Macaca mulatta: one gene and its partner. The protein of the gene in region 1 purifies or fractionates together with the protein of each later gene. This does not show direct contact. Links are inferred from orthologs where the notes say so. Each region holds a gene or a part of one and is shown in the gene's direction. Other genes may lie near its edges. The genes, in order: PRKCZ and NIPSNAP2.

The links.
Region 2: the proteins of PRKCZ (region 1) and NIPSNAP2 purify together in Homo sapiens (affinity purification with mass spectrometry; 3 studies listed by BioGRID and IntAct, counting the BioPlex papers as one, with this or other methods). This does not show direct contact. The link is inferred for Macaca mulatta from reciprocal best matches to the Homo sapiens genes PRKCZ and NIPSNAP2.

Annotation. Positions count from the first base shown.
Region 1 is NC_133406.1:238,497,454-238,500,317, reverse strand, and holds the end of PRKCZ (protein kinase C zeta type), read left to right. Parts: exon of another isoform or gene 1-1,485; coding exon 1,486-1,601; exon of another isoform or gene 1,602-1,826; coding exon 1,827-1,914; 3' UTR 1,915-2,295; downstream 2,296-2,864. UniProt on the Homo sapiens protein: Calcium- and diacylglycerol-independent serine/threonine-protein kinase that functions in phosphatidylinositol 3-kinase (PI3K) pathway and mitogen-activated protein (MAP) kinase cascade, and is involved in NF-kappa-B activation, mitogenic signaling, cell proliferation, cell polarity, inflammatory response and maintenance of long-term potentiation (LTP).
Region 2 is NC_133408.1:72,026,507-72,030,993, forward strand, and holds the start of NIPSNAP2 (protein NipSnap homolog 2), read left to right. Parts: upstream 1-1,587; 5' UTR 1,588-1,612; coding exon 1,613-1,704; intron 1,705-4,487. UniProt on the Homo sapiens protein: Protein involved in mitophagy by facilitating recruitment of the autophagy machinery required for clearance of damaged mitochondria.

The DNA of each region.
Region 1 (2,864 bases):
GTCCCAGCTACTCAGAAGGCTGAGGCGGGAGAATGGCGTGAACCTGGCGTGAACCTGGGAGGTGAAGCTGCAGTGAGCTGAGATTACACCACTGCACTTCAGCCTGGGAGACAGAGCGAGACTCCATCTCAAAAAAAAAAACAACAAAATTAGCCGAGCGTGGTGGTGGGCGCCTGTAGTCCCAGCTACTCAGGAGGCTAAGGCAGGAGAGTAGCTTGAACCAGGGAGTCGAAGGTTGCAATGAGCCGAGACTGCGCCACTGCTCTCCAGCCTGGGCAACAGAGCGAGGCTCTATCTCAAAAAGAAAAAAAAAAAAAAGTGGGCTAGAGAGTGAGCGAGTGAATGAGTGAGTGGGATAGCAAGGGAGGGAGAGCGTGAGTCGGAGTGGGTTAGACAGTGAGGGAGGGAGAGCGTGAATGTCTGTCTTGGTGCTGCTGTAACAGACTACCTGAGCCTGGGTTATTTCCAGGAAGCAGAGGTTGTTCCCAGCTGTGGAGGCTGGGAGTCCAGGGTCTTGGTGCCAGCAGGCTTGGTGTCTGGTGAGGCCAGATCTCTGCTTCCAAGAGGGTGCCCAAACACCGCATTCCCCAGAGGGGAGAGGGGAGGAAGGCCACGTGCCTTCATGGCAAAAGGCAGAGAGGAATCCATGCCCAAGCTGTCTTGACAGCTCCAGGAATCCGTCTGTGAGGGCAGGGCTCCCATCGGGCCCCACCTCCTACACTGTTGCTCTGGGGAATGAGTTTCTCACTGAATCTGGGGGGCACATTCAGACCCTATTGTGGGTGGGTGAGAGAGCATAGCTGTGTCACTGGGACAAGTGGCCATGAGTCAGGGGAACTGAGGGGCTTTCATTGTCCTCACCTGTGTGTGTTGTGGCACCTGTGCCAGGCACCAGCGTTCTGCCCTCCCTGGCACAGGTGCATCACCAAGGCCCAGTACGCAGTGGCCAGAAGTGAGCCTTGAGCCGAGGCCCACCTGCTGGGCATTTTCCTGCCAAGCAGCACCTGAGATTCTGAAGTCGATGCCTGGATAGGCGGAAACGGCCGGCAGGAGGCTCCTGACAGATGGATCGTGCGGTACCAGTGCAGGCAGGGTGCTGTGGGCAGGTCCTGCGCCTTTATGGTCAGGGTTCCAAGACGTCATGAGACGGCTTGTTCAGCCAGTTAGCGTTGGTGCCCCTCTCAACAAGGACCCCCAGGAAGGGGGTGGCCTCACAAGGGTGGCCGGGGGTCCCGCTCCATCCCACATGTGGCCAGCGTGGCCCACACTTCTGGCGTTCCTCTCAGCTCGACAACAATTTTTCTGACTTTGGAGATTTTCTAGGTTCTGTGTTGTAAGAAGAAACACTTGGCATTCAAATACTAGGCAGATTGAAATGCTGAGTTTCTCAGTGTTTCATTCTGTGATTCAAGTGCATGCGGAACTCTCAATCTGGTAGGGATGATGCCCGCGCGGAGCTGACCCTTCTTGCCTTGTTTTTCCAAGCTGGAGAAGAAGCAGGCGCTCCCTCCATTCCAGCCACAGATCACGGACGACTACGGTCTGGACAACTTTGACACACAGTTCACCAGCGAGCCCGTGCAGCTGACCCCAGACGATGAGTAAGTCCCACTGGGTGCGGGGACCCCGGAGCACCCCCCCCGGGCAGCCCCATGGCAGGCCGGCACCTTGGGCGGCTGGTGACCCGGCCTGCCCTTGAGTCCCGCCCGCCTGGCGTCCTCTCTCCGGTGGGCGTTGGGGGAGGATTCTTTTGCGAATGTGACTCCCCTCCCCAGAGGGAATGAACACAGGTCATCCCCCCCGCCCCCTGCCGCCTTTGCCCACAGGGATGCCATAAAGAGGATCGACCAGTCGGAGTTCGAAGGCTTCGAGTACATCAACCCATTACTGCTGTCCACCGAGGAGTCGGTGTGAGGCCGCTGCGTCTCTGTCGTGGACATGCGTGATTGACCCTTTAACTGTATCCTTAACCACCGCATATGCATGCCAGGCTGGGCACGGCTCCGAGGGCAGCCAGGGACAGACGCTTGCGCCGAGACCACGGAGGGAAGCGTCGGCAGGCGCTGCTGGGAGCAGAACGGTCCCTCACACCTGGGCCCGGGCAGGCCAGCTTCGTGCTGGAGGAACTTGCTGCTGAGCCTGTGTCGCGGTGGCCGCGGGGACCCTGCTGAGGGGCTGTCATGCAGTTTCCAAGGTGCACATTTTCCACGGAAACAGAACTCGATGCACTGACCTGCCCCGCCAGGAAAGGGAGCGTGTAGCGTCCTGAGGAATAAAAGTTCCGATGATGTGGAAGCCCCTCTGATGCCTTTTTTCCGTGAGTGGCGCCTGCCCCACGTCTCCGATACAGCCACATGGAGGGGGGCAGGTTAGGAGCCAGCAGGACACAGGTGGGGGCGGGAGTGTAAGTGCCTGTGGGGACACACGCAATCAAGAAGTGTACAAACTCGCACCGTTTCCTAAAGCCCGGTAAGTTCCTGTGGTTGTTCCTGCAGAGCGTGTGCCCAGCCGCTGTGGTCTCAGGGTGAAGTGACACCTTAAGCAGGTGGCGGCTGGGCCAGCCAGCTCACTGGACCGATGGGGAAATTGGATCATAGAGATTCTAAAATGTGGCTCACCAAAGCACAGTAGACCAAAAAAGAGAAAAAGAAAATTGAAAACTAAATCTGCACAAATCCATTTCTGACCACACTAAGCAGTGCCTGCACGATCCCTCGTGCAACGCGTTTGACTTTTGGAAAATATTCTTACCTGTCACACAGTACTGAGAGTTAGGGAAAACTAACAGATGTATGTGTGACAGACCCCAGCCTTAAAGTTCAAAATGATGACCCTACAGACATCCGGAAACACAGGCAATCCTC
Region 2 (4,487 bases), on another chromosome or scaffold:
GTGATCCGCCTGCCTCCCCCACCCAAGCACCCAAGGTGCTGGGATTACAGACATGAACCACCGGGCCCGACTACATTTGTAGCTTTTTTTTTATTTTTTATTTTTTGTCTTCCTGGAGGATACATTTTTCCCTCTACAGTGTCAGCCACCCAGATCCACACGTTTGCTTAAGTTATTTCCTCAGCCAGGGATGCCCTCCCTTCTTTCCCTGGGACTGATATGTCCTGCCAGCTCCTTGGGGAACTTTTTCCCCATCTATCCTCTAATTCACAGCCACCCCCGGTTACATGCTCTCTTTCCGTGCCTCTTTCACGTCTCATGAACCTGTCCATCTTGATGCTTACAACACACTCGGTCCAATCATCATTGTCATTCTGTCACCACTAGACCCGGACGGCCTTGAGGGTAGGTACCAAGGACTCCCATGGCCAGTGCCCACCGGTGCTGAAATGAATGGGAATGATGCCGTCCCAAGACCTAAAGAGAACCCTCCCAGTCCTTTCTCCTTAATTTTTTTTTGTGTGTATGTGTGTGGTTAAAATTTCTTCCTCACTTTCTTTTAAGGAAGGAGACCACTACTACTCCTGCTGCCCTCCTCCCCCCACCTTGCCTAGTTCACACGACAGGAGGAAAGAGAGAAAGAAACAAAAGTAAGATAAATAGCTAGACAACCTTGGCACCACCACCCAGCCCTAGGAGTTAAAAAAAGTAATACTAACAACATCAACCCCTGACCTAAACTACTTGTGTTATCTGTAAATTCCAGACACTGTATGAAAAAGCCATTGTAAAACTTTTTGTTCTGTTAGCTGATTTATGTAGGCCCCAGTCACGTTTTCCACGCTTGCTCTATTTGTCACGACCCTTTCACATAGACCCCTTAAAGTTGTAAGCCTTTAAAAAGGCCAAGTATTTCTTTTTTGGGGCGCTCCGCGCTTAAGACGTGAGTCTGCCGAGGCTCCCGGACGAATAAAAAACCTCTTCCTTCTCTAATCCGGTGTCTGAGGAGCTTTGTCTGTGGCTCCTCCTGCTACACTTTCTTTTCTTTTCTCTTTCTCCTTCCCTTCCCTTCCTTCCTTTCCTTCCTTCCTTCCCTGTCTTCCTTCTTTCTTTCTCTCTTTTTTTTTTTGTGACAGGATGTCGCTGTGTTGCTCAGGCTGGAGCGTTGTGGGGCTTTTTGAAATGACAACATATTCATATACTACAAAATTTAAAAGATATTGGCGGGGTGGTGTGGGGGGAACTCCACTGCCGCTGCCCCGCCCCAGGACCTGGATTCCCCTAGGCACAGTGTTACTCTTTCCTTGTGGAGTTTTCCCTGATCACTGAAGCTATGCCCTTGTCCCTTCTGCACCCGCGCTTCTGGGCACCGAACTCCTTTCGCTGGAAGTGATCGGCTTGCACTGACTGCGCTTGGGCTTCGCGCTTTCCCGCAGTGGTCGGACCTCGGCGCCGGGACAACCAGCCGACCCCCGCGGCCGGGCGCCCTGCTCCCCCTGGCGGCCGCGCCCCGCACTGCAGTGGTTGCGTCGGGGCCCGGCCGGGGGAGGGGTCGCGCGGCGGCGGCGTCAGCGGCGGCGCCCGGGTGGTGGGAGCCGAGGCGCCGAGCAAGATGGCGGCGCGAGTGCTACGCGCTCGCGGAGCGGCCTGGGCCGGTGGCCTCCTACGGCGGGCGGCCCCCTGCAGCCTCCTGCCCAGGCTCCGGTGAGCAGCGCCGCCCTTTCCGGGAGCTGTCGGGGAGGGGCCGCCGGGAGGCGGAGGGCGCGGGGTTTCCCGGCGCGGGTCTCCGCCCCGGCCCTTTCCCCACCGCGGGTGGCCGCCCGGTCTCGGGGCGGTGGGGACAGACCTAGGTCCGGGTCGGGGCGCCCTCGGGCTCAAGGTCACGGCGGGGACGGGCCGCGCTGCAGCTCCGCCCTCGCCCGAGAAGGCGCCCGAGGCTTGGCGCGGAGGCCACATCCTCCCCGCGGCGCTGGCCTGGCCTGCAGGGCCCTGACCGGCGCAACCCGGGGCCGGGGACAGGGACAGCGCGCGCCTGAGGCCGCAGGCCCCAGACGCCGCCTGCTGGGTCCCCGCCGGAGGCTGCTCCAAGCCTGGGTGGCCGCCTCTGCTGAGGACGTTGGTGACCCTGGCCTCTGAGGTGCTGTGAGTAGGATATAAAAGCTTAAAGCATGGTCCCGGGCCAGCCCTACGCGGAGGGAGGGGGAAGTCAACGCTTGGAGGAGGTCAAAGCACTCACGTCTTTGACTTGAAATTTAAAGCCGGCCGTGGTTCTAAAAGTACTTAGAGTTACCAGCACTAAGTGTTCAGGCGTGGGGCTCTTGTGTAAACTTCTTTTTTTTTTTCCTCTAACTTCAGTGGATTGGACGTTTGGTTGTCCAAATTTCACCTTGACGTTTGCGTGTGCTATTTTCCACATTCAAACAGCAAAGCCTATCCTAACTTACCCAGAGTTACTTTCTCATATTCATTGCTTTAGGTAGTTTAAATTACCAAGGGAACTGTGTGTTAAACTCACCATCGGCCAGGGAGCTTTCAATAACATGGTTTATTATTTTTTTTTGAGACGGAGTTTTGCTCTTGTTGCCCAGGCTGGAGTGCAATGGCACGGTCTTGTCTCTCTGCAACCTCCGCCGGGTTCAAGTGATTCTCCTGCCTCGGCCTCCCAAGTAGCTGGGATTACAGGCATGCACCACCACAGCCGGCTAAATTTTTGTATATTTAGTAGAGACGGAGTTTCACCATGTTGGTCAGGCTAGTCTCGAACTTATGAGCTCAGGTGATCCACCTGTCACAGCCTCCCAAAGTGCTGGGATTACAGTGGTGAGTCACCATGCCCAGCCTGATCTTTTTAAAAAGATGAGTCTGACTTGGGAGAGGGGGCAGAAATAAGGGTCGTGGCCAGCTGAATGGACGCTGGCACTGAGAGTTGAGAGTTTGCTGAGAGTTGTTTGTTCTGCCAAATATGAGTGTCAGGCACTGTTGACTGTTGAGAGACGTCAGTGAATAAGGCATGCAAGACCATCGGGGAGCTTACCAGTAATTCAGCAGCGCTGGGGAAGAAGAATTCAGAGCAGTTTAGGACCTGGTAAAGTTTGTGAAGGCTGTGTGCTATTCAAGTGGAAAAGCAAACAGACAGTTGGCTATATGACTCCTCAAAGGAGGTGTCTGGGCTACAGGTAACATTTGGGAGTTGTCAGTATATAGGAATGCTAAATGTTAATAGACACATGGATTTCATTATACTGTTTCATATTTGGTTTACATTTTTCACAATAAAGGCTGGGCGCGGTGACTCACACTTGTAATCTCAGCACTTTGGGAAGTTGAGGCAGGAGGATTGCTTGAGCCCAGGAGTTTGAGACCAGCCTGGGCAACATAGTGGAACTCTGTCCCTAATAATAAATAAGTACATAAATAAAAATTTGTGTAATGAAACTTTTTAAACCATAGGAAGCCAGGTGCAGTGGCTCAGGCTGTAATCCCAGCACTTTGAGAGGCCGAACTGGACTGATCGCTTGAGCTCAGGAGTTCGACACCATCCCTGGCAACATGACAAAACACATCTCTACAAAAAATACAAAAATTAGCCTGGCATGGTGGCACGTGCCTGTAGTCCCAGCTACTTGGGAGGCTGAGGTGGGAGTATAGCTTGAACCTAGGAGGTGGAGGTTGCAGTGAGCTGATCATGCCACTGCATTCCAGCCTAGGTGAAAGAGCCAGACCGTCTCCAAAATAAAACAAAAAACCATCAGAATGTGTGAGATTGCTTGAGGCGTGAGTGTGGCGAGTGAAGGCCTGCAAAGCAAGCCCTGGGACGTGCAACATATACAGGTTGAATGTAGGAGGGGGAACTGGCTAGGTCATTGTTATATTACAGTGGCCAGGAGGAGGGAGGGAGTGCCATCTGCTGCCAAAGGGTTAGGTAAAATGATGGAAGAAAACAGAATTTGCCAACAGGGGTGTTGTGGGTGACCTTGCCGGATCAGTTTCAGCAAGCAAGAGGGGCATCCTCCTGGGAGCCTCATCCCTGCCTGTACATTAGCCAGCATATTTCACTTAGCGCTGCTTAGCAGCAAACTTGGAATCCCCAGCCGCTTCCTGGACGTTGAATGTCTCACAGGTGCTCAAAACACTGCTGTACCCAGGATTTAACTCCTCTTCCTTCCACGAAGCCTGCTTCTCTTGGATACTTTTTCTTCAGTCATGAAACATTTTCCATGTGGTGGCCCAGGCCGGAAGCCAGACTGTCTTCCCCAAGCCCATCCGTCTTTTTTCCCACCATCTATCATTTACCAAATCTGTCAGTTCTGCCTCTAGTATGTCTTGAATCCACCCTCTCCATCGCCACTGCCCTAGCTCAACCCTCAGCAATACTCGTCTGGATTCCTATGAAGAATGTGGGCTCGGACCTGTTAGTGAAGGGGACGACTAAAGGATTTTTTTTTTCCTTAGATGTAGAGTCTTGCCCTTTGCCAAGGCTGGAGTTT